Rattus norvegicus: one gene and its partners. The main gene of each other region encodes a partner of the protein of the gene in region 2 in a complex. Links are inferred from orthologs where the notes say so. Each region holds a gene or a part of one and is shown on either strand. Other genes may lie near its edges. The genes, in order: Mettl14, Rbm15 and Wtap.

Region 1 (9,761 bases), about 17 Mb from region 2:
AAGAGATTAGTGGTTAAGTCCAGAGGGCAGGTTAAAGTAAGAAATGTGGCTTCACTGCTAATGGTACAGAGCTTCCTTTGAGAAGCAAATGCTCTAAAACTGACTGCTAATGATTGCATTAAAAGAACTCTGAATTATATTCTTTCGATGGGTTAATTACAAGGCATATAAACTATGTTTAAAAAAAAAAATAGAGAGACACAGCATTGCTTAAAGGCAAGGAAGGTAGACTAGAAGCACTGAGACCCAAAGGTGAACGTCAACCCTGAAAAAGGTTTTATTAGGATAATGTATAACTTGCATAGATCACATGCATATAGCGATACTGTATACAGGAGAGTCCAAGTAAAGCTGACATACCTACATCCCTGATGAAATTCTGAGGTCTATGTCCAGTGTCTACAAAATGCTGGCAGTAATCATTATGGGGATTTAAGCTCTGCGTTCCCTAAAGAAATGGTTAAAATTAAATAAACAATATGCACTCTCATGGCAGATACACTAACTTCGTGTGTCTTTATTATGAAGCTGTACAAAGTATGACATTGAAAAAGCACTAATATTTGAAAACACTAAAAACTACACTGAAAAACTAAAACATTACTTATCAACAGATTCTGATATAAATACACCACTATTATAGGCTAAATATCTAAATAATCAGAATATTTCACGAGTAACTTAGGATCTTTGTTTTCATACAGAGATCTCTCAAAAACTGAAAAACTCCTCAAGAAAATGAGGTCCTTTACAGCATAGAGCTCAAATGTGAAAGTTCTAAGACTTGAAAAGTCTTTGTTTTACCTTAAGGAAGGTACTGGAATCTTTGTAAATCTCTTCTTCATATGGCAAATTTTCTTCTTCCTGTTGCATTTCTAGTTCATCCTTGAAAAGGGAAGATGAAGAAAGTATTTAAAATATATACATTTAGATGTGGTGGAACTTCTTTAATCCTAGCACTCGGGAGGCAGAGGCAGGCAGATGTCTGAGTTCAAGGTTAGCCTGGTCTACAGAGTGAGTTTCAGGACAGCCAGGGCTATACAGAAAAATCCTGTGCCCCCCCCCCCCAAAAAAAACCATAACACACACCACACACATACACACAGACACACACACACACACACATGCATATATATACATATTCATATTTTTCTTTACATATATTTTATATATACATTTATGTTTATATAGTAAATTATTGCATCTTAAGAGTGTTTTATTCCCCTCAGATATGTTTATATTAGCATTACATTTAGATTTACTTTTTTAAAAAAAAATTTTGTTGATTTATTTATTTTATGGTTTTGAGTGTTTTGCCCTCAGGAGGTCAGAAGAGGGCCTCAGATCTCCTGGAACTGGAGTAACAGACGGCTGTCAGGTACCATGTGGGTGTTAGGAACTGAATCCAGGTCCCCTGCAAGAGTTCATGGTATGAACATGTGAGTGCTGGTACCTATGGATGGATGTTGGAAACCAAATTCAGGTTTTGCTAAGTGGATAGGAAGTTGGGAGGGGTTTTACAGGCTGGGAAGCAGGGGTTTAACTAGTATTAAGGGTGTTTGAAAAAGTCACGTGGAAATGTACTATTTTATAAGATATTTAAATACATATATAGAAAGGAGCTTAACTTGAGTTACTCTACACAAAGGAAATGCCTCTTCCAGAAGTCATAGATTGCCAAATAAAAATCCCAATGTCAGTGTGAGAAACCTTCCCTTGAATTGTTGGTCAGGGTATCAAGATAACCCTGCAGAATAGGCTATTGCCATTGTTTCTGATCACCCACCAGAACCTGATAGTAGACCTTATTGCCAAAGATAGACATATTTGAGTCATAAGACTTGAGAAATCAAGCTAGAACCAACCAGAAAGCATCCTCCCTGCTGGTTAGCTTGTATAAGGCTGAAAAGTAGGCTACTGGGAAAGAAAGCTCACCAAAGGCTTTATATAGTTGTGAACCTCAGGATATAACAACTGGCCTGGCCAGGCATGCATATGGTACAATCATGGCATACACATACATAAAATGAGCAAACTGATATGTCTTTTTTTTTCTTCTTCTTCTTCTTTTTTTCGGAGCTGGGGACCGAACCCAGGGCCTTAGCGCTTGCTAGGCAAGCGCTCTACCACTGAGCTAAATCCCCAACCCCCTGATATAAGTCTTTAACTGAGCAGATAAATGTTACTCATAAGGATTTTAGGATCTTACAGTTCAGCTCTCTAAATGAGACAAATCTATTAGGATTAACTTTTTTCTCAAACATGTATAAAACTACCTCATTTTCTACTTGCCTTATATTCTTCTACTTTATCTTCATCCGTCTCTCCTTCATCCAGACACTTCCGTTTTGAATTTGGAGCAGAAGTATCATAGGAAGCCCTGGGAATTCAACCGCAGCTGTCTTAAGGAGCGCACAGAAGGTGCACATGCATCTGCTTGTATTATTAACAAGTTACAGAAGCGAAGCCAAATGTTTCCTGATTAAATGTCTACTTACCTATAAAACATCCAAAAGCCAAAGGCAATACTTGTAGCTTTATTTATAAGAAAGCAACCAAGTGAAAAAAATAAGCTAGTATAAAGACTTATTATGAGGAGAAACTTTTAAATAGTGTTTCATATATTAGTTTACATAATTTTATACTATGCTCTGAAAGCTAAACTGATAGAACCGAAAATTCAGAATAAAAAATTATGAAATGTTTTCTGAATTATCAGTTGAATACCACGTTTGAAGTACATTTTCATAAAATTGTAATTTATAATTTAACAGTTTTTATGGTATGTAAGCTAATTCTTAGTATAACATTTCACTTCCACCTATTTTATAAATACGAACCCAGTATTTTCACAAAGACTTAATAATTTCAACCTGACATTAAAAACTATTTCCAAAAAATCTTCATTTTCACAGTTTTCTTAAGAACACATTCAAACCTGCAATTAGTTATTTATTAAAAAAATCAACCCTTATGGGAGATTCTAGTTCTCAAGAGGTTCAGGCAGAGGTGCTGCAAGTGTGAGGACAACATGGGCTACAGAGCGGGACTGTCTCATTCCCCCAAAATAACCCTCATAAATACGTCACAACAGAAACTTACACGAATGATCCTTTCTCACTGTACACACGTCACTAAAAGGTCAACATACCTGCAAGTTTCTCTTGTTTCAGCGATCTCCCTCTGTTCATCTTTGCTGTTTAACACAGCACCAATGCTATCTGCACTCTCAGCTCCCAACTAGGAAGCAAGAACCCAAAGTTAGGTCACAACGCATTGTTCACACGCCCAAAATGTGCTGCTAATTTTAATAAATCAAGTATTTTATAAAAGCAACACCGCCCATACCACACTATCAACAGGCGTGTAAGTGAACGGTAAGAACATCGTTTTAATTAAGAATGATTTTATCAGCTGGAAAATATTTTATGCATTTGGTTATATTTGAAATTAAGATGATTCTCTTTGGCCAATTCTGAATAAAACACAAGTTGGCAGTACTATCAATAACCCAAAAGCAAATGACTTCATATGAATTGCTTTATATATCATATTCTATCCCATGCTCTCACAGAAATGCAATCAGTTTCATTAAAGCTAAGCTCCGAAAAAAAGAAAAAAAAGAAAAAAAAAAGCTAAGTCTTTAATAAAATTTACTAATAGCTTAAAAACGGTAATGTCAACTTTAAATGGCCACTGAAGAAACTCTGCAGAATGCAACAAATGTAAACAAAGGCTGAGCTGAATAAAACTAATTCACAGAAAACCTTCCAGGTCAGACTAAGGACACAGGGCAGCACGAGGAACTCTTTAGTATCAAGCACAAAAACGGCATAAGAAAATCAGTACTTAGTGTTCCCTTTAGCTCCAGGGCAAGAAGGTATTCAAAAATATCAGGGCTACAAATGAGCAGCTTTGACTTTAAACAACAAAATCTTCTCTACTGCTTCCTAGGGCTGCCTTCATTTCTCCAATAAAAGCTCTCTTCCAATACACCAGTTTCAACTCCTCCGTAAAAATCTTCTCCACGTCTTTCTGGTCTGAGGACAGAACATGTACTTCCTATAGTTAGAATTTTCTAATTTTCTCCCCATGACTATTTGTAATTCTCATCTCATCTCAGTCAATCCTTCAGAAAGTTCTCTGAGGAACCCAAGATTTAGCAATGGAAAGTGACAGCAAGCTACCTTAATCGCTGAGCTACCTCTCTAGCCAGCTTCACATTGTGAGATTGGTTTTAAGGGAAGTTTGTTTTATCTTCTTGAGAGCCTGCGGAAAGACTCATTGGAAATTTAAAATTTACTCGCTAAAGCGTTGAGCATTTCCCTCCATCACTTATATTGGTTTGCATGGGGTAATGACAACAGCTTCAGATTTTAAGTGAAACAACTTGTAGTATGTACTCCCTGCACGTGTGGTCCACTAAACGGCAAGCACTCACATACTCATCTCACTTCAAGGAAAGTGAAAGGTTTGGAAAAGTAATGTTTGGAGAGACAGATCTTAGTTAATTCTCTGGTGAGGACTGGCCAAGGAGAACCTAACAATCTTGGAAGCCTATTCCAAGTAGGAATAAGTAAGGATTCAAATGTTTGGTTGATGGGAGATTGTGTTTTAAGGGCAGAATCTTTACTCAGTTGCTTCCAGTGAGTCTTTCCACAGGATCTCAAGAAAATAATCAAACTTTCTCCAAAACCAATCTCAGTAACGTGAGGCTGGGGCTAGAGAGATGGCTCAGCGCCTAAGAGCATGCACTGCTCTTCCGAAGTTCATGTCTCAGCACCCACATCGGGAGGCTCACAACTACCTGTCGCTCCAGCACCAGGGAGATCCGACACCTCTGGCACATATACACACGGAGACAAAACCACACACTTTAAAATAAAAAAAAAAATCTTTAAAAAAAAAAAAGGATTTGAAGCTGATTTGGACGAAAAGCAAGACGCGAAACATTGCTTAACCAGTGAAGGTGAAATGTAGGAGCTAAAACTGCCACTTGTCCTTGTTACAACTACTAACACTCATCGACAATTAGCAAATTTATCCCCACCACAAGTCTGTGCTCGCAAATGTGGGTCCAGAAAGTCCAAGACTGGTAGCGGTGGGTCTTCTACATAATGACTTTGACTAGCACGTGTGAGGAGGTGGGGAGACTAGGGAATAAAAGTCCCGGGACAAAGACCTTGACACCGATGAGAATTCACAAAAAGGACAGGCGGGAATTAAGAAACGAGGGGGAAGGGGTTGGAGATTTAGCTCAGTGGTAGAGCGCTGGCCTAGCAAGCGCAAGGCCCTGGGTTCGGTCCCCAGCTCCGAAAAAAAGAAAAAAAAAAAAAAAAAAGAAACGAGGGGGTGAAAAAAAAAAAAGGCAGCCGCGCACGCGCACTGACGTCCCCTCCCACCCGGCCTCACACCTGCTGAGCTAGGAGCTGCCGCCGTAACTTCTGCCGTTCCCGGATCTCCTGCAGGCGGCTGTCCATGCCCCAGGTCCTGCTTCTCACCACCCGACAGACACCGCGCCCGCCAAAACGCAAACCCTCCTCCCAAACCAGGAAACAGCGTCCCACCGAGATTCTGACCCGGAGACTTTCACGTCCCTCAGGAGGGATTTCCGGCGCGCCCGAGACAGGCTAAGCCCAGACAGGAAATCCCGCCTCTGGGACGCCGGCTATATGACGTCATATGACGACACCCAATGAAGGATGCAGAGGTGGTTGCGGGTGGGGAGCCGCTTTCTAGCTGTCTTAGTTCTTAACTCTTTCCCAGAGGTTTGGGTTCGTTTTTTGTTCTGCTCATAAAAGAAGTTTTCTTTCTCGCGTTAACCAATTACCTGCCTGTAAGCCCTGGCTTTTTAACATTTGAGGTATGCTTGTGGGTTTCTTTTACTGCAGTACTGACCAGCTTGTGAAGGATTGGATCTCCACGCTCACTAGCTCAGTACCCTTGGCAAGTTAGCGAGCTTTTGTAAAAGGACAACAGTAAGAGGGCCTTGGGAGGCTGAGGCAGGAGGATCCAGGAGTTTGGAGCCAACCTGGTCTTGTAATGAAACCCCGTCATCCATTTATATAAATAAATTAATTAAAATAAATGCAAACAAACAGCAATAGTTACGTAGGGAAACCCTGTCATTCATTTATATTAATTAATTAAAATAAATGCAAACAGAGCGGTAGAAGCAGGCAGATCTCCGAGTTCAAGGCCAGCCTGATTTACAGAGCAAATTCCAGGACATCCAGGCCTACGCCGAGAAACCCTGTCTCGAAAACAACAACCAAACAAGAGTTTCTTGCATAATAGCAGAATTACATGACAAAAAAATGTTAATTTTCAAAAAATATACTGTAAAATATTTTGACTGTATAGTGTTAACATGTATCTCTTTAAAACTCCGCTGTATTATTTGCTAATCATGACTGCTGAGACTAGATGCTCACTGAGCATTTCTTATAGCAAGTATGGTGGGCTCTGGAGTCTACGAAAGATCAAAGGTCAAAAAAAACAAAAACTCAAAATGAACATGGCAGCTCCTCCTTCTGTCCCGTAAGCTCTAAGCTGGGTAGCCATTCCAACGCATGCTATCCATTTAAAGTAACTATGTATCTCCTGCATGGAAGCGGGACTGACAACCATGGATCCATACAGTATTTATGAAGTCAATGGGATCCATCAGAGAATTGTTGCAGTTTTTACAAAGAAAGGGATATAACTTTTAAGCTCTCTCACCACTGAAGTTGTAATTACTAGACTGCATCAACACATCTGTAGATCCTGTACATGTTTATTTGTATATCACTTCATCCTCTCAACATACCAGTGTGTGTAAGCGAGAGAAGAGGGAGACGAAGATGAAGTCCAGGTGTCATCCCGACTCTTTGAGGAAACAATTTCATTTGTAGGTACTTGCTTTAAAAGAGTGATGATGCACATAGTTTGCACTGCTTCCTCCAAGCCCCTTAGGATTGCTATCTGCAAACCTGTATATCCAACTGCCTATTGTGTATCTTAGAACATTTCCCATCATCTGTTACATGTGTTACATTGTTTCAGTTTCTTCCAAAAATGTGTGATGAAAATTAATTCCCCAAATCAGGTGTTACTTTTTAAAATAATTTTTAAAATTTCTTCTTCAACAATTTTATATATGCATTAAGTTCATTCGGATGATTGCAACCATCCACCTTCTAGTCTTTTCCACACCTCTATTCACCCCATACATCCCTTCCCCATATTCGTGTCTATGGGGTTATTTACTTATCTTGGTTTGCTGGTTGGTGATTAGTATATCTAGATTTGTTCTGTTTTGAGAATCACTGAGTCTAACCAGAATTGTATATACGACCACTGGGGCCTGGTGAGCGTCTAGTAGGTACATAACTAGAAACAGTGACTGTCCCTGGCTCAGAATCTATTGATATAGCTGTAGTTCATTAGGAGAGGCCCCATGAGCCCTTTCCCAGTCCGTGATTGTTAATTCTATGTTGATAGGCTCAGTATTGTGTAGGCTCACTGTAGTCACTGCAAACTCTGAGGTCATGACTTCATTGGCTGTGCCATGCCCAGAAAACATGTCCTGTCTTCAGGTCTGTCATTCTTTCTGCTCCCCCTTTCTCCATGATCCTTGAGGCTTGAGGGGGTGCTCCGAACACTCAAGTCACTTATTCTCAGCACCTTGGCTTCCATGAATCTCTGCCTTGAAAGGAATGCGATGGGACACGTAGGAAGTGATCGCATCATGAGGACTCCGTGCTCTTGGATGGATTCATTACTTTTTATAAAGGGTTTTTATGGAAAATGTTAACACACACACACACACACACACACACACACACACACACACCAGATTCCTGCCTTCTGCCATATAAGGACCTTGTGGTGGTTTTAAAGACAAGGACTCCCATAGGCTTAGGAGATGTGGCCTTATTGGAGTAGGTATGGCATTGTTGGAGGATGTGTCTCAGTTGCTTCCTGCTGCCTACAGAATGGATGTAGAAGTCTCTGCCCCTTCTTCAGTGCCATGTCTGCCTGCCACCGTGATTTCCACCATGAGAGTAATGGACTAAACCCCTGAAACTCTAAGCCAGCCCCAATTAAATGTTTTCTTTTATAAGAGTTGCTGTGGTCCTGGTGTCTTCTTCATAGCAATAGAAACTGTAACTAAAACAGAAGTTGGTGCTGGGGACTGGGGTATTGCTGTGACAGACCTGACCATGGTTTTGTTTGCAGAAATGTGGACTTCAGATTTAAAAAGCAGCTGAATGCTTTAAGTAGAATTTAATGGGCCAAAGTAGTAGAGAAATGGAAGACAGTGGTGCTGGGGATGATTTGAGCTGTGGGGGCCTGATTTAAGGTGTTTCAGAGGAGAATAGATGAATGTGGCCTAGGAACTATTCTTGTGATGTTTTGGTGAAGAATGTGGCTGCTTCTGCCCTTGTCCAAAACGTCTGCCTGAGGCTAAAGAGATTTTACATATTTTAAAGAAACTGAAAATGTAATGTGTTTGAATTTGTGAAAGACTGTATTAATGTTTATTTTTAAATGTATGCTTATTTATGTTTTTAATGTGAGATCTTGGGGATGGATAAGAAAGAAATGGCGTGGCTTAATAATGGTGTGTTTGTGTGTCAAGTTGACAAGGGGTCAATCAAGGAAGGAATCTTAACTGAGAAAGTGCCTCCATAAGATCTGAGCTTTCTTTGGTTTAAATTAGTCAAGATAGGGACACTTTGCCACAATGTCCTGGTATACAGAGGGTCCAAAAGTTATTTTAGTGATTATCAAGAGCAAAAAGAAAGAAAAAAAAAGATCTGAGCTTTAAGACATTTTCTTAATTAGTCATTGATGTGGAGGGCCCAGCCCATTGTGGGTGGTGCCATCCCTATAAGAAAGCAGGCTGAGCAAGCCATGGGAAGCAAGCAAGTAAGCAGCACCCTTCCGTGGCCTCTGCATCAGTTCCTGCCTCCAGGTTCTTTCTCTGTTTGAGTTCCTGCCCTGACTTCTGTCAGTGACAAACAGCAATATAGAAGTGCAAATCAAACAAACCCTTTTCTCTTCAACTTGCTTTTTGGTCATGGGTTTTTTTCACAGCAATAGAAAACAGACCTAACTAAGACAGATGTGATGTCCCTGCTCTCTGGAAGATGCAGTGGTCAAGTTATCATATTAAATAACCAACAAAAAATGCAGACTGCATCACAATGTTTGGTTTCCTAGTTTTCAGAACTGTGAGAAATAAATTGCTGTTGTGTAAGTTTCCCAGCCTGTTACTGCCACATAGAATCAAACAATATTAATACAAATGCAACCTAAATGAGAGAGAGAGAGCTCTTCATGTTTTTCTATTACAACCTGATATTTATCTTCTTTAAAAAATTGTTTGTTTATTTACATTTCAAATGCTGCCCTGTCCTGGTTCCCCCCCCCCCGCCAGAGTTCCTCCCCCACCCCTTCCCTTCACCTCCGAGAGGGCAGACCTCCCATATCCCCCCCAGCCCTAGGGGCCCTGGTTAGTTGACACTATTGGTCATCCTGTGGGGTCACCATCTCCTTGAGGGCCTTCTGTCCTTCCCCTAACTCTTCCACAGGGTCCCCGACCTCCATCTAAAAACCACAGTGGTTAGATGTCACGCAGTCGGTGGCGGTGCCTTAACTATATGTCTGTTGTCAGGCGCACAGGCCTCTTCCACCCTTGTCAAGGGGAGTGAGTGCTAAACTTCTCTCCTTTCATACAGCTCCTGTTTCACATCCTAACTGCTGCTCTGTCA
Region 2 (9,853 bases):
CCAGATGTCAAATCCTCAGCTCTCAATTTTGTGGGGAGAGGGCTTGATGGGGGTGGGGGTGGGGAATCTGTGCAGGTAAGTTAATTACAAGTACAAGAAAAATCAAAATTAAAAAAAAAATAGTAATAATTAAAAAAAAGTTTTTCTAACACTGACATTTCAAATTTCTCCAGTCAGGCAACAGTTAGTCAAACATTAAATTTCAAAAATATTCAAAACAGTGTCACCAATATAATGCCACTACTCTTGTTTAAGCAACAACAACAACAACAACAAAACCTGAAGGAATTTTCTTCAAACAGTTTGAAGGCATTTCACAATAATCTTTTAAAAATTCTGTAATTTGGATGTTTGACTAATGTCTACGAGGGGAAATAAAAGGATTACTTATAAACCTGCAGACAACTCTTACTGAAACCAGAAATTTCTTAAGTGGATACAAAAAAACTTCATTTTTGGTTTTGAAGTATGCACAATAGAACTGTATTAACTACACTTCTCAGTCAATTAGAACACTATCCTGCACCTAACTTACCAACAAATTTTCATTTTAAAAGCATTTACTCATTTTTTGCATACCAGTTTAAGATGTAAATGGTTCATAACACAAGTCAACTTTTACCAATTACTGCTACAAACATGGGATACAAAACTCAAAAACTAATGATATATTAAAGCAAACTTTCTGGGAATAAACTGTGTATATAAAGAAATACGCAAACACCTGATTAAAATAATTGGACTTTGCCAATACCTGATCAAATTTTAGTCACACAATGCTTCTAGTATAAATTATCTATGCACCAATCAAATCATTTTCAGTACAGTGTAAATATTTTCAGAAGGTTCCTTTCTCCAAATTATGATTTTAAAAATTGTGGGTTTATCATTTTGAGGATTTTTTTTTTTTAAAAACTCAAGATTGAAAAAGAAAAAATAAAAAACCTGAAGAAAAAGAAAAATTATCAGGGTAAGAACTCCTAATTAAAGCAAATCTATCTTCCTGCTACCTTCAGGGCATCCCTTTCACTTAATAACTAAACTGCCCCATTATCTATTTTAAGGAGGTTTACAAAAATATATATATAAAAAAAAACCAACTAAACTAAATGAAAGAAATTTTCATCTGATGCTGTATCCCATTACACATCACAAAACAAGGAACCATGTCAAAGTAGTAAATACAAGTTACACATGGACTTTAGGACGCACCACGGACAATGATCATGACCAGGTAATCTTCTTCAGATTTGGCCAGTGCCTTGGCAGGGGAATCCAGGAACTGCTGAGAGAACTCACAAGGTGGGAAGGCATGAAGAACCCCGGTGTTTTCCTTGTCTTTATTGCCTCCCACAGGGAGGCTGATCACCCCAGCTGCCTGCTTTTGCTTTAAATAGGACACAAGGTTCCTAAGTGGCCTCTGAGTAGAGGCGGCAGTGTCTGATGTGGCTGAGGAAGAGGAGGATCGGCTGTCAGAACTTCCAGGTACAGCTAGGAGAATGGCATAACCATTAGGCCCTGCCACTTTGATGCGTCGAGTTACTTCATCCAACTTGGGCTGGTCCAAACGGAGCCGCTGAGTGATCTTGAGCTGGGCTACTTTGCCTCCAGTGGAACCCTCCACAAGTAGACTGCTAGCAACTTGGAGGTCACCCTGCAATAGATGCATGTTGGAAGGGAAGTTGCTGTTCTTCAGTAGAAGCATGCCCTGCCAAGCCAAACAGAGTTTGGGAGAGGATGCTGCCACAGGAGCTGTCCCTCCATCCTGTTTCTGGGAAGGTGGCTTCTGCTTTGATGAAGAAGTGCTGGCACTGGGTGTATTGCCATCAGATCGGTCTTCCTTTTTCAGAGGGGTTTTTCCCTCTGTGGGAGCAGCTGTCCGGTGCTTCCTATCCCGTTCAGCTGATGCAGAGTTTTTACGGTCTCGTTTGTCACTCTGGCTCTTCTCCAAACTGCCCCGTCTATCTCTGACTGGGGAAGGCCTTTCCAAGAGTAGAAGACGAGATGATCGATCATTGTCACTGTTGTAACGATCTCTGTTACTGCTCAGTTCTGGACTTCGGTCAGGAGAAGGAGTGCAGTGACGCTGTTTTCGAGGCCGGTCACTCTCGGGTGATCTATCAAGATGCCGTCCTCCACTTTCCTCAGGCAGCCTTCGCTTCCTTGGCTGGTCCCTGCTGCTAGGCAAATCCCGGTCACCTCTGTCCCTGTCCAGTGACCAGCCATCCCTCCTTCGATCCAAGCTATCCAGTGGCTCATAAGCAGTGACGGCACTAGTTGCAGCCCGAGCACTGCGTTCCCGAACCGGTGGCGGGGGTGGCACCCAATCAGAATCGGGATAAAGGTCCCTATCACGATCTCTGTATAGTAAGGGTGGTGTCCGGTCCCGAGCACTCCTCAAAGGGTCAGGTGCTCGATGTCCAAAAGTATCTGTCACTAGTTCATAATGGGTTAAGGGCAGAGGCTGAAGATACTGCTGCTGGTAACGATGTTCTGTGTCTGCAAAGTCTACCCTAAGGCGACGATCTGGGCCACCAAGTGGGAATCCACGCATATGGGTCCAGGCAGCATGAGCTGCATCCAAGCTTTCATACTGTATATATGCCCAACTGTCACCTTTTCGGTAGTCTATGGTTCGAATGGTGCCAAATCGATCAAATTCTCGTGCCAGGGCAGCAAGAGGCACCCAAGGTCCCAGACCACCCACCCAAAGTCGGGTAGTGGGTGTGGCTTTCCCATAACCAATCTTGATTGGATTCCGAATTATAATTTTGCCAGACATTGCTATTTTGGCCCTGTGAGACATGTCTAGGTTCTCAAATTTGAGAAAGCCGTAAGTACTGGTCTGGCCACGAGAAGGCCTCTTAATGTCCACTTCTGTGATGACTCCAAAACGATCAAAAGCCCTTCTCAGATCATTTTCTGTCACAGTGATATCTAAGTTGCCCAAGAAAAGTGTCCGGTTGGCACGCTGATCATCCTCAGGTGATATCTCATCCACTTCTCGGAATGGAGCAGCACCTGCTCCAGCTCCCACCCTCGGCTCAAGACTATATGCTGGCCGCACTCTGTCATAGAACGGATAGTCTCGTTCTCTTTCCAGCTCTCGGGGCAATGGTGGCGGGGGTGGAGGAGGCAGGCGGCCAAGAGCCAACTGCTGCAACCGGTAGTCTCTGTATCCCAAAGCAGCACCGCCAGGAGAAAGCGATCTCTGACCTCCACCTCCTCCAGGGGCGTGCCTGTGGCTACCTACAGAGCTTCCGACCACGCTGGACGACGGGGCGTAAGTATCTTTGTCTAACGGGGAGCGGCTGCGGCGCCGGCTCACATACACGGCTTCTATCTTCAGAGGCCGGTCATAGAGCACCAGGCGGCCTCTGGCATGCTTGGCCGCCCTCGCGTCCTCTGGCCTCCGGAAGTTCACAAAGGCTACCCGCTCATCCCCGCTGCCAGAACCTGAGAGATGACTGATTTTGACACTTACATCACCGAAGCGTTTGAACTCGTGAAACAGTCCGTCCTCCACCGCTTCGTCACTCAGCTGGGACCCCAATTCGCTTATCTTCAGGGTCTTGTACTCCACGCCGTCCCCGCCGCCAGGCGCTGAGGAGGCGGCCCCAGAGGAACGTGACTCCCCGCCTCCACCCCGGGAGCTGCTGCGCGACTCGCCCCCGCCTGAGGAATTTTTGGTGCTTGGGGAGCTGTAACTATGCAAGCGGCTACTGGAGCTGCCCCCACCGGTATCATACTCGCGGCTGCCGCCTCGGCTGCTGGACTTGTCCAGATGAAGGCTCCGCCGCGACCCGCCGCTGTCCGTCTTCCCGCTGCTGCTCCCATTGCTGCCGCCAGAGCCCCCTAACTTCTTGCTCCGTTCCCCACGAGAACTGGAGTCCTCACCGCCACGGGAGCGTTTGGGCTTGACTGGCGAGCGCTCCTTTCCTTTCATTGTTGAGGGTCGCCGGAGGTCGTCTCTGCGGAGCTGACTAACCCGCCACCCCGCGCTCGTTTCACACAGCGGACTCGCACGCCGCCATCTTGGACTCCGCCGCGGCAAAGGCTCCCGCCCCGCAGACCTCATTGGTCAATTAATTCACTCTTCAGCTTTCTCATTGGAAAAACTATTTGTCCGTCTTTACATCTCCCCGCGCTCCGGGAAGGCGCCCGCCCCGACGCTGTTATTGGGTTCCCAACGCCCTAATCGCAGTACCTCATTGGTTATATTCGTTGTCTATCTTAACGGTTCCTCGCGCCAGGCTGTAGCTCCGCCCCTCGCACTTCATGGTCACCTGACCCAAAGCCTAGAAGCGTTGATTGGACAAAAAGTCTGCCCTGTAACGGTACTTCTAGCACGGCGAAAGCAGCGATCCCACCTTCTCTTCCCTTTCATTGGTTTATGGCCACGTCCTTTAAATCACTACTTGGGAAGTCTGGACATCAGTTCAGGCGTTTTTCCCTGAGAACTTGGCTCTCTCGGATCTCGCGAGAGACAAAGAGCTCGCTCGCTCACTCGCTCGCTCTCTTTCAACCCCAGTCTTCCAACTTCTCCGGCGGCTGAATAAAGTTTAAATCTGATTGGATGTTGACGAGGAAAATGATTGGATAAAAGCGCTGTCCATCACTCACTTAAAGGAGTAGGCCCATAAACTGAGGAGTCTGAAGGTGAAAGACTCTACCACGCGCTTGCTGTGCGACGTCACTTAGCTGTCGCGAGACGGTGACAGTGAGTCAGGCCCGCCTCCCCGCGCTTTCGGCGTTCTCTTAAACATTTGTTAGGTCCTACGGCGTACTTGCCTGTGCTTCGGTCCTTCGAGTCTGGAACTTGCGGGCTCCGCACTGTCCTGTCTGGGCGGGACAATGGGCTCGGTGGTCCTTCCGGCTGCTGGCCCTCGATCCGCTTAGGCAGCTGTCCCGGGAAGTCCAGCCGACACCATCTTAGTTAGCAGCCTGAAAAAGCCCCACCCCCGTGCGCGAGAAAGCGCCTGCCCCGGTCTGTGCGGCTGGCTGGGGCGGTGAGTTCAGGGTTCACTGAGCCTCGGGTCACGCTGACGCCCTGGGCGGTACCGAGTCACAGCCCGCCCGCGGACATAGGAAACAGAGCGCAGCCCTGGCCGCCTTGGGCCCGGCAGTGACCTACACTCCGGGCTTCCGGGCCTACCGACTGGTCTGACCTGCAGGACCACTTGCAGGCCTTTTTTGCTTCCTGATTTATGTTGTGAAAATGTGTAGGATTTGCATTCATAAAAGATTTGTGAAAGGTAGCTGTGCTTAGCTTTAATATGTAACGCTTCTCACTGTGCGGGTACTACATTTATCTCGTTTCTTGGACCTCAGCACTCCGATTAATCCATATTAGGATCCAGTAACATGGCCACCTTGTCCCCTCCTAGATCCCCCTCCTTTGACTCCTTTAACCCTGATTCAAATCTAAACGTCTCCCCGCCACCAACTTCGGTGACCCCATGCATCTGTAAGGAGTCTCGTAAGCTTGTGTAATACTGGTGATCATAAGATTAGATGGGTAGGGGTTGGGGATTTAGCTCAGTGGTAGAGCGCTTGCCTAGCAAGCGCCAGGCCCTGAGTTCGGTCCCCAGCTCCGAAAAAAAGAAAAAAAAAAAAAAAAGATGGATAGTCTATACCACTGGTGCTTACCTCCTGGTGAGGGGAAATAGGCTTTTTTTTTTTTTTTTTTTTCTTTTTTCGGAGCTGGGGACCGAACCCAGGGCCTGGCGCATGCTAGGCAAGCGCTCTACCACTGAGCTAAATCCCCAACCGCGAAATAGGCTTTTTTGCAGTCTCCCCAAATATGTACCTTGAAGACATTAGAAAGATTCTGGTATTCCCATCTTTTAAGACTGAGTTGAGAATGTGTTTTAAAACAGGACATTTTACAAGGTGATAAGAATGCCCCCCCCAAAAAAAACCCTTAATTCTAAATTTAAAAGCTATTTGAAGACTAGATACAGCAACCTGATTAGCCCTATTTCAGCCGATTTGTTTTGTTAGTATATAATCTTGAAATTGGTGAATACTTGGTCCAAAATCTCTTGATTACATCAAAAAGATTTGAAAGAAGCCTGATAGGTAAATTATAAACCCCAAAATACTATAAAGCATAGACATACTTGTATTAAAAGTTGCTGTTGTGTGGCTTTTGGAGCACCTATATCCCAGCTACTCTTGAGGGTAAGGATCATAAATTCTTCATTAGCCTGAGTAACTTGATAAGTTGGTGAGATTCTGTCTTAAAACCAACCCCACACAAAAGAAGTCTGGAGACACAGTTCAGGAACCTTGGGCACCTAAGTGAAGCTCTAGGTTCAATTCTTAGTGGAAAAATATTCTTTTTTTTAAAGCACAGTATAGAGTTTATTCAGGGCATGGGGAGGGGAGTTAAGAGGATAGGAGAGAGAGAGAGAGAGAGAGAGAGAGAGAGAGAGAGAGAGAGAGAGAGAGAGAGAGAGAGAAGTTGAGGCTGGCCATGAGCATGTGGAGAGCAGGGCGAGGGAGGGAATGGGGAGGAGAGATTGGGGGCAGGAAGGCAAGAGCAAGAGAGGAGCAAGAGAGAACCGGAAAAAAAATATTCTTTTAAAGATTTTAGCAGGCCTGGTGATGTACCCCTTTAATCCTACCACGTGAAAGGCAGAAGCAGACAGATCTTGCTGAATTCAAGGCCAGATTTGCTCTTTGCTGCCAGATCTCCGCCATCATGTAGGCTCCGGCAAGGGCCTGTCCCAGTCGGCTCTGCCCTACATCCACTTAAGCCCTGCATCCTGAAGTGGTTGAAGTTAATGTCTGATGACGTGAAGGAACAAATTTACAAGTCGGCCAAGAAAGGCCTAACTCCCTCCCAGATAGGTGTGAGCCTGAGGGACTCACATGGTGCGGCACAGGTCAGTTCTTTTGTGACTAGAAATAAAATCTTGAGAATCCTTAAGTCCAAAGGCCATGCCCATGATCTTCCTGAGGATCTCTACCATTTGATTAAGAAAGCAGTTGCTGTCCGAATGCACCTTGAGAGGAACAGAAAGGATAAGGATGCTAAATTCCGCCTGATTCCGATAGAGAGCAGAATTCACCGGTTGGCTCCATACTATAAGACTAAGTGTATGCTCCCACCCAATAGGAAATAGGAGTCATCACAGCCTCTGCTCTAGTGGCATAAATGCTGTTGTGTACATAAGCACTTTGAGTAAAAAAAAAAAGACCAGCCTTATCTATATAGTGAATACTAGGCCTGCCAGGATTATGTAATGAGACCCTGTCTTTAAATATTTATGTGAATATCTGCATGTATGTTAGTGTTCTAATCCCCAGAGAAGCCAGAGAGGGTGATAGAGCCCCAGAGAAGCTGGAATTACAGGGTTGTGAGTCACCAACATAGGCCTCTGGGAAAACAAACTGTGTCCTCTGTAAGAGCAGCAAGTACTTTTAACCCCTGAGCCACCTCTCCAGGCCTGCAAAAATAATATTTAAAAGACCGTTAGCATAAATGCCATCAATCAGAGAAATATGTGTATAATAAACTACCAATTGTCGTTTTAAAAATTGTGTGTTGCATATACATGCTTACATTTTATTGAAATTATTACAGAAATTGCTCTTAGGCGCAGGGCGGAGGCTCTGGAATTAGCAAGAGACTTTTTGACATTGTAAATAAAAATTTCCTTGTAGGATTTAGTTTAAAAATATACAATAGTAGAATATTTTCGGAAGAGCACCCCATGTTCTGAACGCAGAGACTCGACAATCATAAGATCATGTCAATCTTTTTTCTTTAAGTCTATCATCTTATTCCCATCCTTGCCTACTCTATTATTCTATTCCAGGCATGTCCAATGCATTTTGCCTCAGATGTGGAATCCACCATTCCTTCAAAAATGGTTCTCTTTAGTGGAAAACAATACTGAAAAATAAAACTTTGGATATTGGGAGATAAAATAGTTGTACATATAATCTCTAAAATAGCATAAAGAACTTTTCATGGGTGTGTTCATCTATTTTAAGATTATATGAATACTACAGAAAAGGACATTGGATTAAACTTTAACCTGATTACTCAATGTAATAGTCAATCCAGAAAAACTATGAGTGACTGTTTTCAGCCTAAATCGATTAACATAGTGACTCACTGATGCAAAGGCAAGATAAGGACCAGTCAGTGTAGTTCCTGGACCTAATGGCAGGAGTCTGAGGGAAGCAACTGAGAACTAGAAACTAGAACTGAGAAAGATTGAAAGAGATGAAAAGGGACAAACAACTCAGTGGCTCGTCCTTTGGAAGCATCAGGGAGCTTGGTAAAAGCTAGGAAGGCTTCCAAGGGAACTGGAGTCCTTCCTGGAGCCAAGAGGACTGGTAAAGTTAATGCTAACAGCAAAGGCCATCACCTTTTGGCAGTAAGAGTCAAAATATAGCCTGTTACATGTTTGCCCATGACAGAACAGAATGATGACCTAAGCATTAAAAGTGTAATCTTTTTATTCTGCTTGTACTTGACTTTAAGCAAATGTTCATTGAAATAGAAAGCAAACATTGAGAAGACTTGCTGTGATTAAGTGATTTATTTTGTTTTCATTTCCTTGGGTTCTTTGAAGCACTAAGCTGTGTAAGTGAGGTTTAGCTTTACACGTGTACCTTGAGGAGGGCTGAGAAAGGATAAACCTGACCCGTGGTATAAAGGGCAAAGACTTGAAACTCTTCTTTGGGTGTTGTCAATAAAGTTGTTAAGATGCAATCCAAGCTTTCCTCTTGTCTCCAAGTGATCAGTGGCCAGATTCAGGAGGGCAACTGCCCTCAGTGATCATGGTGTTTATGACTAGAGTTAAGCTAGCTACAAATTCCCCTAGCACCATAGTAGTGCATTGTCAACCTGTTCTTTTAGTGCTCTGCCAAAATCCAAGAAATAGTGGTGAGGAGAAGCTTTTGTAGCCCATTTTGCTTTAGTATTGGCCCACTGGAGTTATACTACTGGAATCCTTGAGGGAAAGTTACTAGCTTTCTCTGTAAAGTGTTTTCACCATCTCCTTTAAAATTTCTCTTAAATATGAAAGAAAAAAATCAAAAGTACATGCACAACTTTAAAAATATCAGTATAATTTCAATGTTCTTTCCATCTTTATTCTTCCTGGGTTTTATTGTGTTATATCTAGACAATGCTTGCAATATGAATTTATTGAGAGCTGTTTAATTTCCTGGTATATGCAAACAGGCCTAAAGCTTGAAACTTAACATTTTTCCCTTCCATAATAGTAGATTAAAATTTTCTGTCTCATATCCCGATATAAAATGAGTGATCTCTTTTTTTTTTTATTAACTTGAGTATTTCTTATATACATTTCAAGTGTTATTCCCTTTCCCGGTTTCCGGGCAAACATCCCCCTCCCCCCTCCCCTTCCTTATGGGTGTTCCCCTCCCAACCCTCCCCCAGTTGCCGCCCTCCCCCCATAGTCTAGTTCACTGGGGGTTCAGTCTTAGCAGGACCCAGGGCTTCCCCTTCCACTGGTGCTCTTACTAGGATATTCATTGCTACCTATGGGGTCAGAGTCCAGGGTCAGTCCATGTATAGTCTTTAGGTAGTGGCTTAGTCCCTGGAAGCTCTGGTTGCTTGACATTGTTGTACTTTTGGGGTCTCGAGCCCGTTCAAGCTCTTCCAGTTCTTTCTCTGATTCCTTCAACGGGGGACCTATTCTCAGTTCAGTGGTTTGCTGCTGGCATTCGCCTCTGTATTTGCTGTATTCTGGCTGTGTCTCTCAGGAGCGATCTACATCCGGCTCCTGTCGGTCTGCACTTCTTTGCTTCATCCATCTTGTCTAATTGGGTGGCTGTATATGTATGGGCCACATGTGGGGCAGGCTCT
Region 3 (9,843 bases), on a different chromosome or scaffold from region 2:
CCCAATAGTTTAAATGTAGAACCTAGGGGGCTGGAGAGACGGTTCAGTGGTTAAGGCACTGACTACTTCTTCAGGGGTCCTGAGTTCAATTCCCAGATGGTAGTTCAGGTAATGGGATCTGATTCCCCTCTCTGGTGTGTCTGAAGACAGCTACAGTGTACTCACATACATTAAATAAATAAATCTTAAAAAAAAAAAAAAAAAAAAGAACCTAAGCTGAAATTATTTCATACATTTAGAAATCCTTTCTCCTAGGCTCTATTAATTTCTCTTATTAAAGTAGAGGGAGCTCAGATAAATGGAGAAATGCTTGCACAATATGCATGGATCCCACTTTGATTCCAGGAAGCACAGAAGGCACTTTCTTTAAAACGTTTCTAAGTATTAACCAGTAACACTACTGTTACAATACAAAACAGAAAAAAACATCGAACCAGATAAAGCAAACCATAGTTGCCACATCACTAAATACCTGGTTCTTCTTAATTCACTCCTGAGTAATGTTGACTCCAAAACTTCTGCCAGAATTTTATATAACATAATGAATTACAAATCCTTCCATAACTTACATCACACTGTTAAACAGAACCTCAGGCTATCTATACCTATATGTATAAAAGTCTATATGTATAAGGATATATGTATATACCCATAAGTAATGATAGCTAAACTCAGTAAAGAACTATAGAACTAGAAAAATCAAAAGTTAGAAAATGAAGGAAGAAAGCAGACTACAAGAACTAACTAATTAGCTGTAGCCCTAACAATCCTCAGATGGATAGATTTAAGTTACAACCCTGGAGGGTTAAAAAAATAGGACATATATATATGTAAAATTTGTAAAATAGCCAGAAATGGTTCAGGCTAAGAACTAAAGACCACAGGAATCCTGTAACACCTTCTGAAAGTTGTGATCATTCATTCTAGATTGACCATGTACAGAAACGTATCTTAATACTTTGTAGTCCCCTGATGCAAACAAAGTACAAGGGGAAAAAGGTGAAAAATGCTGAAACATACCTTTTTAGGAAGAGGTTCTTCGTTGGTCATCTTGTACCCTAAAAAAGGGGGGAGGGGAGTTAGGGGAAATACATTCAGTTAATTTTCTTTCAATTAAAGTTTTTTTTCCTCAAAGTTAAAACTGTTTCCTTTGAACCAGTTATTAGCAAGTGTTAATGTGAAATAGTTATTAAAACAATCTTGTATTTCATAGTACTTCGATCCCTTCTTTTATTGTGGTGAAAGGGATTCAACCCAGGACTCCTGACACTGTAGGTAAGTGTTAGCCCAGGATAGTTTCAATTAACAACAACAACAAAAAGAACAAAGACATGATGAATACCCCCTATAACTTCACCAAATTCCGTCTCTGCTAACATCTTTCATCATCATGGTTGTGTAATTTTTTAAAAATGTTGACAGTAAGTCGGGCCTCAGAAGGCTGAAGGATTAGAAGGGCAGCACCAGCCACCAGTTTTCTGGCCTTGACTTCTACAGCATTGTGCTGTTGACAGTGAAGCAGAACCCATCATGTGATTCACTACGCTCTAAGGATGTTAAATATAAAGTATGCCTACCTTAAGACAGTATGGACCTTAAACAATGTATTACACAATACAAGTTGGGAAATAAATATACAGAAAAGACAGCTAACCTAACAAATATTAAACACTGCTTGACTCGGCTTGTGGGACAGTATTTTTCTTAAATCTAAGTTGTTTTAAAGTAATAATTTATACACAATTAACATGAATTCTTGGGTTGGAGGGATGGCTCAGCAGTTAATTGCTCTCAAAAAAGACCTGAGTTCAGTTCCCAGAATTCAACCTAAGGTGGCTCACAACTCCAGCTCCAGTTCCAGGCAGAACCAACACCTCTGGCCTCCACAGGCAAGCCTATGCACATTATCACACACACAGAGAATTAAGAACTAATCTTTAGGGGCTAGAGAGATGGCTCAGCGGTTAGGACAACTGGCTACTCTTCCAGAGAACCTGAATTCAATTCCCAGTAACCACATGGTGGCTCACAACCATTCTATAATGAGATTTGGTACCCTCTTCCCGCATGCGTGTGCACACATACAAAATACTGTATATTCAATGAATAAATCTTAAAAAAAAGTTCTTATGAACACACCTGATATTTTCTTTTTTTTTTTTCCCAGAGCTGAGGACCGAACCCAGGGCCTTGTGCTTGCTAGGCAAGCGCTCTACCACTGAGCTAAATCCCCAACCCCCTGATATTTTCTAATATTCAAACTTAACCAGGAGTCAAACAGTTATTCTTAGGTCTTAGTTCTCAAAGTTACCTTCTGTCTTTAATTATTTTTTCCATTTTATTTTACTTACCAATACCTATCAAAAATTCTAAATTATAAGCTGGGTGTAGTAACATATGCTTCAAATTTGAGCACTCTGGAAGGATAGGCAGATGGATCCCTGTATTTTGAGGCCATCCTGTATTGAGAGTTCCAGACAGCCAAAGCTACAGAGAGACTGTCTCAAAATTCTAGACGATTAAGATTTTGACTGAAAATTGTTATACTGTTTTAAAAAGATATTTAATTTCTCAATGAACATATGACTTGTCATAAGTAAAGATTTTTCCAATATAAATGTACATATACTCCCATATGCATGAATAGTCTAGTCATACCACCACTGAACCCAATTAGGTCTGTTATACAGAAGAAATCAGGATTTTAGGAACTCTCTAAATGCTATAATGGGATTTGATGCCCTCTTCTGGTGTACAGGCATACATGTGAGCAGAACATCGCACACATACTTTTTTAAAAAGTATGACATGGGTTAAGGATGTAACGTAGTTTTACAGTGCATGCTAAACACACGCAGGGCTCCGGAACTTCAAATGACAAATGAGAGAGGAAAAAAAAACATGCACTTCTGCATTTTGAATAACCAGGATTTATCAAGTTCCAGGCAGCCAGGGCTACAGTGAGACCCTGTGTCAACAAACAGAAGAGCACAAGAAAACCTGCCCACTGTGGCACAGCACATATAGTTCAGTACAGCACCCAGGAGGCAGAGGCTGGAGAGTTTCAAGTTCTACAACAAGGAAGTTGCAGGCCAGCCAGGGCTACAGAGAGACAGACCATCTTTAAAAACAAAACAAAACAAAACAAAACAAAACAAAAAAAAGGCAAAACAGAAAACCTCAAACACGAATAATTTGGCAAACTTCCAACAGGTTAAAAGATGACGGGCTTTTAAATTACACAAAGGGGGAAGGAGCAGCTGGAGAGATGGCTCAGAAGTTAATACTGACTGCTCCTTCAGAGGACCTGGATTCGATTACCAGCAGCCACACTGTAGCTCATAACAATTCTAACTCCAGACGTACGACAAAACACCTATAACTTTAAACTTATTTGTGTAGACAGTTCAGAGAATTCATCTCAGTTTAGAATGCCATCCACTCTTAAAGCCTAGCTTAGGCTGTGGAACTGCTTTAGTTGACTAAGTGCCTACCATCCCAGATCATAACACTATGATCCTAAGTTAGGCAACTTAGTACTCTCTGGAGAAAGGCAACCACACGCCAAGGTAAGTTATGCAAGAAGGCATGTATATGGCTCGCTGAAATAAATCACAGTGGATGTTAAGAAATGGCATCGTCTGGCAGTGCTGGAGCCTCAGCACTGCAGGAGTAAGGGGACTTGTTAGAAATCAGAACACTATTTCAGTCTCCTGTTTATGTGATCAAGTCACTTAATTCTTTGGGCTTCAGTTTCCACATCAGTGTTGCTTAGGGCACAAAGTACTGCAGGTCTGTTATTGGTACCATAAAAACACTATACAAACAAGGACTGCCTGAACACAATCAACACAGGAAATAAACTCTACCAACTTCATCTTTAAAGCAAAGAACACTGAATCTTGTCTGATGGAAATGCCTAACACCTAACACCAATAGCTTATTCAATGATGGGAATACTGGAAAAAAAAAAACTTCCCAAGCTTAATGAAAAGAAATAGGAAGTATTTAGAGGAAGAAAGTGGGAGATAAAAACAAGAATGCATATCAAGTAAAACTTCTAAAGAGCATGATAAATTTAACTACACCTTACACCAATTATCTAGGCGGCTAACAATATTTTCAAGAGTCTACATTATATACACAAAAAGACAGGAGGGACCTTGAAAATGGTAATGCTCTGTCCAAATACATCAAATGGCTATTACAAACCATAATTTAAGTAGTGTTCAAACACACTCATCTGTTTAAGAATGAAGAACTAAAGCACCCTCAGAAACACATCTGCCCAAATCCTTAAAATTCAGTTCCAACACATCAGAAGCCATCCTGTAGACTGCAACTTTCCCCAACTTGCCTGAGCAATAGTTGCTGAATGAATGAAACCTAGCCACCTCAAAAAATGTCTGTTTTTAATAGTTTCAGATGCCTACATATTTACCTATGAGAAAACCTGGTGCATGGTTTTAAAATTAAGTACTTTTAAAAATTTTTTGTAAATGTTTTGCATGTATGTATGTGCATCACGTGCATGCCTGGTGCCACCCACAGAGGTCAGAAGAGGGAAGTCAAAATTCCCAGGAACATGAGTTAAGGATGGCCACGAGCCATCAATTGGGTGCTGGACGAGCAAAAAGTACTCTTAACTCCTGGGCCAACTCTCCAGCTCCGATGCTCAAATAAATAAGTTAAAGTGAAAAACAAATAGAATTTGTAGTAACTGATTTGTGACTTCCACTTATCTTTCCAAATAATAAAATTAACTAAATGAAAAAAGCGAGGCTATAGTGAGAACGACAAAAAAGGCATAAATACAATTTACGACTATAACATGCTCACCGATCCTTACAACCAGTGTGCAGTGTCTTAGTCCTTTGGGGTCAAATTAACTGACTTCCTCATTATCAAACCAAGAACTGTGGGCTCGGGGATTAGATGAATGGCAGAATGCTGGCCTAATAACATGCATGCACAAGGCCTAGCGTTCCATCCCTAGCCGCCCCCGCCCTCCCCAATAAGAAAATATGTACACAAACAGAAAAACTTAGGTCTTTTCTCACTGTGCACTGTCTTATGAAAATCAAGTTTAAATATAGTCAAATCAGCCTTACAGAGATCCAAAACTAGACTAAAAGTTCACGAAAAATTTCAGGAAGCTGTCAAAAAAATTAACTACTCTCACAATGCATACTTATGTAAAAATGGAAGTCCACATGAGAACGTGGCTGCAATGACAAGCTACTGCGTGACGTGAAATTCCTTTTTTTTTTTTTTTAAAGAACCGAATGCATCACTTGGGTCATACAGAACTATCGGTACCTCTAGGTCCCGGGTGACGAACCCTGGAAGGTGGGAGGGGGCGACAGAGGCGGGGAAAGGACAGGCATGGCCAGTCAGCCCCGAGAGGGCGGCCTCCGGCCTCCCCGCCTCCCCAGTCGCGGGAACGCCCGCCTTGTCCCCTGCCGTCAGGAACGGGAGCAGAATGGCTGTGAAACGGTGCAAGTATCCCCACGAGCAGCAAACCGCTCTGACTAACGGGAAGCCAGCGCGGCCGCAAGCCCGGTCGCCCTTCGGGCCTGGAGTGCGTTTCGCCGGGTCCAGGGCGGCCGCGCCTCGCTTCCCGTCCCTGCAGGCCCTCGTGGCCATTCCCGCCGCGGGCCGCACCTACCTTCCCAGCCCGAGGCTGCGCGGGCGCCGCCAGTCACACAGGCCGAGGCCGCGCCGCCGCCGGCCCCCCCCCGCACTCCTCCCGCCGCAGCCCCGGAGATAGCCTTTATTTGCGGGTCTCGCAGCCACAAAATGGCGCTGAGGGAGGAAACCAGGCCCCGCCGTCGGCCCCGCCCCGCCTCGAGTGCGCCCCGCCCCGAGTGCGCCGCCGATACCCCGCCCGTGGCCCACTCACCCGAGACGCGCCTCTCGGGCGCCGCCTCGGTCACCGTGCCCGGTGCCTCCGGCCAGAAGAGACGAGGCGAGGCCGGCCCGCTCGGGGTCTCGGGGCGCGGAGGGGCAAGCGGCTCTCCGCAGCCGCACCGAGACCGTCCGCGGAGGTTCGCACCTGCCCCGTGGGGGCTCTGCAAGCTTAGCCGGGATGGGGAGGGAAGCGGCCGGAGAGAAGGGCGGGCCCGCGAGGTCAGAGGTCACCCGCGAGGCATCACGGGACGGCGGCCGCTGCCGGACACGCTCGGCGGGGCCACCTGCGGCTGCAGCACGGCCTGGGCGGAGGAATCCGAGCCGACGAGCGCGTGATTGGCTCTTCGCTGCAGGCCGCATAGCACAGGATGCTTCCGCTCGCGCTGCCGGAACGCGGAGACAGCAGCTTCACGCCTAAGCGCCCCTCGTCCTAAGTTTGGGGGCCTTAGAAGCCGCCGCTTTCCCTGCGGCCGCCGGCTTTGCTCCTTGTGGCGTCTCTGGGCTTAAGTTGAGGTGCAAGGAAGCTGCGCCTGTGGGACGTTCCAGGGCAGATCGCACACCAGAATCCCGGAGAAGGCAGCAGAGTGAGGATTCTGGAGTCCGAGAAATCACTCCAGTAAGACAGTCGCCTGGATTACAGCAAGAACGGCGTTAGTCTGCAGTCTCTTCAGCACTTCCCAGATGGGACAGTCATATTTAGGTTTAGTCGGTTTTATGAGAGCAGTTAATCCCCAGCGAAGGTGTCCTGGCTGAGATCACTTATAAGTACACAATTACAGTAGAGACCAGATGACCAGAGGAGCCATGGTGTTCCACTTAGGCTAAGAGAAAAAAAGGTCTTGGAAAACTAAAGAAAATGGGAAAAGACATGAACAGATGATTCACAGAGAAGATGTCCTTAAATATATCGTAGGAGGAGGATCAACTTTGTTTATAATGGAAATACACATTGAAATCCTGTATCCTGGTAGGGATGCAGTCATTAATAGTTAATGTGTTACTTTGGAATTACTACTGGGCTGAGTGAATAAAGCAATGTGTAGAAATACATATACACATATATGTAGGCACATACTGGGAAGACAGAAGGATATTGCAGAAACTTAATACTTACTCAAAAAGTGGTAATGGCTATAGGAGATAAAGGTAGAAGCAAGGCTTCTCTGAGTTCAAAATTTATGAAGACAAAAGGTAAAAACCCTTCAAAGTCAAGTAAATTGAAACGAACCAATTGACTCTTAAGCAGTTTGGCAGTGGAACTGAGACATAGACAAAGAATATATATAGCTACAGTGTTTTGAGTTTCACACTCTGGCACTGTGCCTGTGGATACCTAAGAATCACTCAGTTTCACTAAGTGATTTGTAATTATAACATTGTTGCTGTGGTTTTGAAGTTATGTTTATTGTAGTACAAACATTTCAATGTTACTTTCTCCAAAGATTTCTAGTGTAAAAGAAAATAAGATACAGGGCTGGAGAGATGGCTCAGCGTTAAGAGCACTGGATGCTCTTCCAGAGGTCCTGAGTTCAATTCCCAGCAACCACATGGTGGCTCACAGCCATCTGTAATGGGCTCTGATGCCCTCTTCTGGTGTGTCTGAAGACAGCCCCAGTGTACTTATATATAATAAACAAATGAGATACAAATACAAAAACCAAAGAAGTTCAGAAGCACTATTTAAAATTGAAATATCGGGGGTTGGGGATTTGGCTCAGTGGTAGAGTGCTTGCCTAGGAGGCGCAAGGCCCTGGGTTCGGTCCCCAGCTCCGAAAAAAAAAGAAAAGAAAAAAAAATTGAAATATCATCTTGAGGCTGGAGAGATAGCTCTCAATACTTAAGAGCACTTGTTGCTTTTCCAGAGGACCTGGGTTCAATTCCCAGCATTCACATGGTGGCTCATAATTGTAACTCCAGTTCCAGAGAAATGGGTCTGATGACCATTTCTGGTCTGTGGGCATACATGTGGTATACTGTGGTACATACACATATTTGAACACATTGTATTTAAAAAAATTTTTTTTGATTTAAACTTTTTTATTTTACATGCATGAGTGTTGTCTGTGTGCCTGGTGGGTGTAGAGGTCAGAAGAGGGCGGCAGATCTGGAATGGAGTTATAGATGGTTGTGAACCACCATTTAGGTGCTGGGAACTCCTGCGTCTCTGGAGTCACAGCCAGTGCTCTAATGACTGAGCTATCTCTCCAGCTTCTTGGACACATTTCAAAGTGTCTTAAGGTGAAAGACACATCCGTATCAGGTGGCTCATGACTCCACCTCCAGGGAGTTCTGACCACAGAAAGATACAACGAAGCCCATCATGTTGTACAATTAATATAGCCCATTTAAAAAAAAAAAAAAACTTAACTCCTTGATTGTCCCTTCTTCCCAGGTATTGAAGTAGTTTCCTGGGGCAATGGCTTATTTAATTGAATATTCCCAGGCAAGGGCTACAGAGATGATTCAGTGGTTAAGAGAGCTTTTATCCCTCTTGCAGAGGACGTGGGTTCAATTCTAAGCACCCACATGGCCATTCCCAATCATCCATAATGTCCTCTTCTGACCTGGGCTGGTTTCAGGCACACAAATGGCATACACACACACACACACACACACACACACACACACACACACACACACACACAAAACAGTCATACACATAAAGCTAAAAGAATCGTCCCAGGCAAAGCAGGATGGTTGTGCATCAGTGGTGACAGTAAGTGCAGCTAGCACCCACTCTTGGTGTCTAAGTTTTGTAAACTTATTTATGTACACCCTGTATGCATGTACGCCTGCATACCAAAAGTAGGCATCAGATCACGGGCTGCCCTGTGGTTGCTGGGTGTTGAACTCAGAACCTCTGGAAGAGCATTCAAGTGCACTTCTGCTGAAGCAATCCCACCCCCCCACGTTCTATTTTACATTAAAAAAAAAATCCAGAACTCTTGGTTCCAGTTCTGGGAGACATAAGTAAAAACTTGTGTAATATCTTAAATGTAGAGGAAGTGTCTGAGTGAGTAAGGTCTAGTCACAGGATTTAGGAGAAAAGGCAAACTGACCCATTGTGATTGTCTAGAGGTCAGCAGGTGCTAAACGTGGGAGGGAAGAGGAATCTACTGAGGAGGAAGATTAAGGAACTCAGGGTCATAGGTACACTCTTGTGTGTGATTAGCCAGGCTTATGTGTTTGTTCTTTAGCTTGTTGGCCAGATATGCACACTTACCAAAACTAATCAAGCCAGCACTAAAAGGGCACATGTGTTGCATGTAAGCTACATGTAAATAAAGTTTGCAAACAAGCCATGACAAACCAAATGAGAACGGCAGAAGCTCAAAACTAAAAAATTAAAAGTTACAATAAAATATAATAATATACATATAAAAATATAAGAAAAATAAAAGTTAAAAAGCAGAGGCTGTCTTTTGAGAATCTGGGACATGGAGGGAAGAAGTCAGTCCAAGTCATGTCTTGGGTTTGCAGAGGTTCCAGGGGAGGCAGAGGAGGCATCCCCTTGGGAAGGGACTGTGCCTTGACTGGAGGCTGGGCACTGAACTGCTGGAGGTGACCAGTTGGAAGCCAGTCACCTCATTTGCTTGCCATAGAGGGGCATAGTTGTCTAAGTTGGGAGTAGAGACAAGGACTGGGGATATAATTCAGCTTGGTAGAGTGCCTGGCATATATGAAGCCTCGGGTTCATGAAGCACTTTATACAGGGATGGGGGGGGGGGGAGCGCAACACAGGCCTGTATCTCCAGCACTGATTGTTCGAGAGGCATGATCTAGGTTCCTGGAGAATGAGGAGAGAGCACAGCCTGACTTCCCTCCAGCCTGAATGCAGCAGGGTGGCTTCCTGGGCTGGTTAGTGTTAATAACGTTTTGCCTTCTTGAGACAGTTGTTCTTGGTCATGCGTTACAATTCTGTTTCATACAGTA

Evidence for each region.
Region 1: Rbm15 (region 2) and Mettl14 share a complex: the UniProt entries of both Homo sapiens proteins name them as parts of the WMM complex. The link is inferred for Rattus norvegicus from reciprocal best matches to the Homo sapiens genes RBM15 and METTL14.
Region 3: Rbm15 (region 2) and Wtap share a complex: the UniProt entries of both Homo sapiens proteins name them as parts of the WMM complex. The link is inferred for Rattus norvegicus from reciprocal best matches to the Homo sapiens genes RBM15 and WTAP.

The regions. Positions count from the first base shown.
Region 1 is NC_086020.1:214,225,782-214,235,542, forward strand, and holds the start of Mettl14 (N6-adenosine-methyltransferase non-catalytic subunit), read right to left. Parts: upstream 5,632-9,761; 5' UTR 5,481-5,631; coding exon 5,415-5,480; intron 3,241-5,414; coding exon 3,152-3,240; intron 2,381-3,151; coding exon 2,293-2,380; intron 886-2,292; coding exon 805-885; intron 449-804; coding exon 361-448; intron 1-360. UniProt on the Homo sapiens protein: The METTL3-METTL14 heterodimer forms a N6-methyltransferase complex that methylates adenosine residues at the N(6) position of some mRNAs and regulates the circadian clock, differentiation of embryonic stem cells and cortical neurogenesis.
Region 2 is NC_086020.1:197,637,752-197,647,604, forward strand, and holds the start of Rbm15 (RNA-binding protein 15), read right to left. Parts: upstream 4,947-9,853; 5' UTR 4,079-4,946; coding exon 1,213-4,078; intron 1-1,212. UniProt on the Homo sapiens protein: RNA-binding protein that acts as a key regulator of N6-methyladenosine (m6A) methylation of RNAs, thereby regulating different processes, such as hematopoietic cell homeostasis, alternative splicing of mRNAs and X chromosome inactivation mediated by Xist RNA.
Region 3 is NC_086019.1:50,067,217-50,077,059, reverse strand, and holds the start of Wtap (pre-mRNA-splicing regulator WTAP), read right to left. Parts: upstream 6,088-9,843; 5' UTR 5,903-6,087; intron 5,803-5,902; exon of another isoform or gene 5,669-5,802; intron 5,627-5,668; exon of another isoform or gene 5,320-5,626; intron 1,059-5,319; 5' UTR 1,051-1,058; coding exon 1,021-1,050; intron 1-1,020. UniProt on the Homo sapiens protein: Associated component of the WMM complex, a complex that mediates N6-methyladenosine (m6A) methylation of RNAs, a modification that plays a role in the efficiency of mRNA splicing and RNA processing.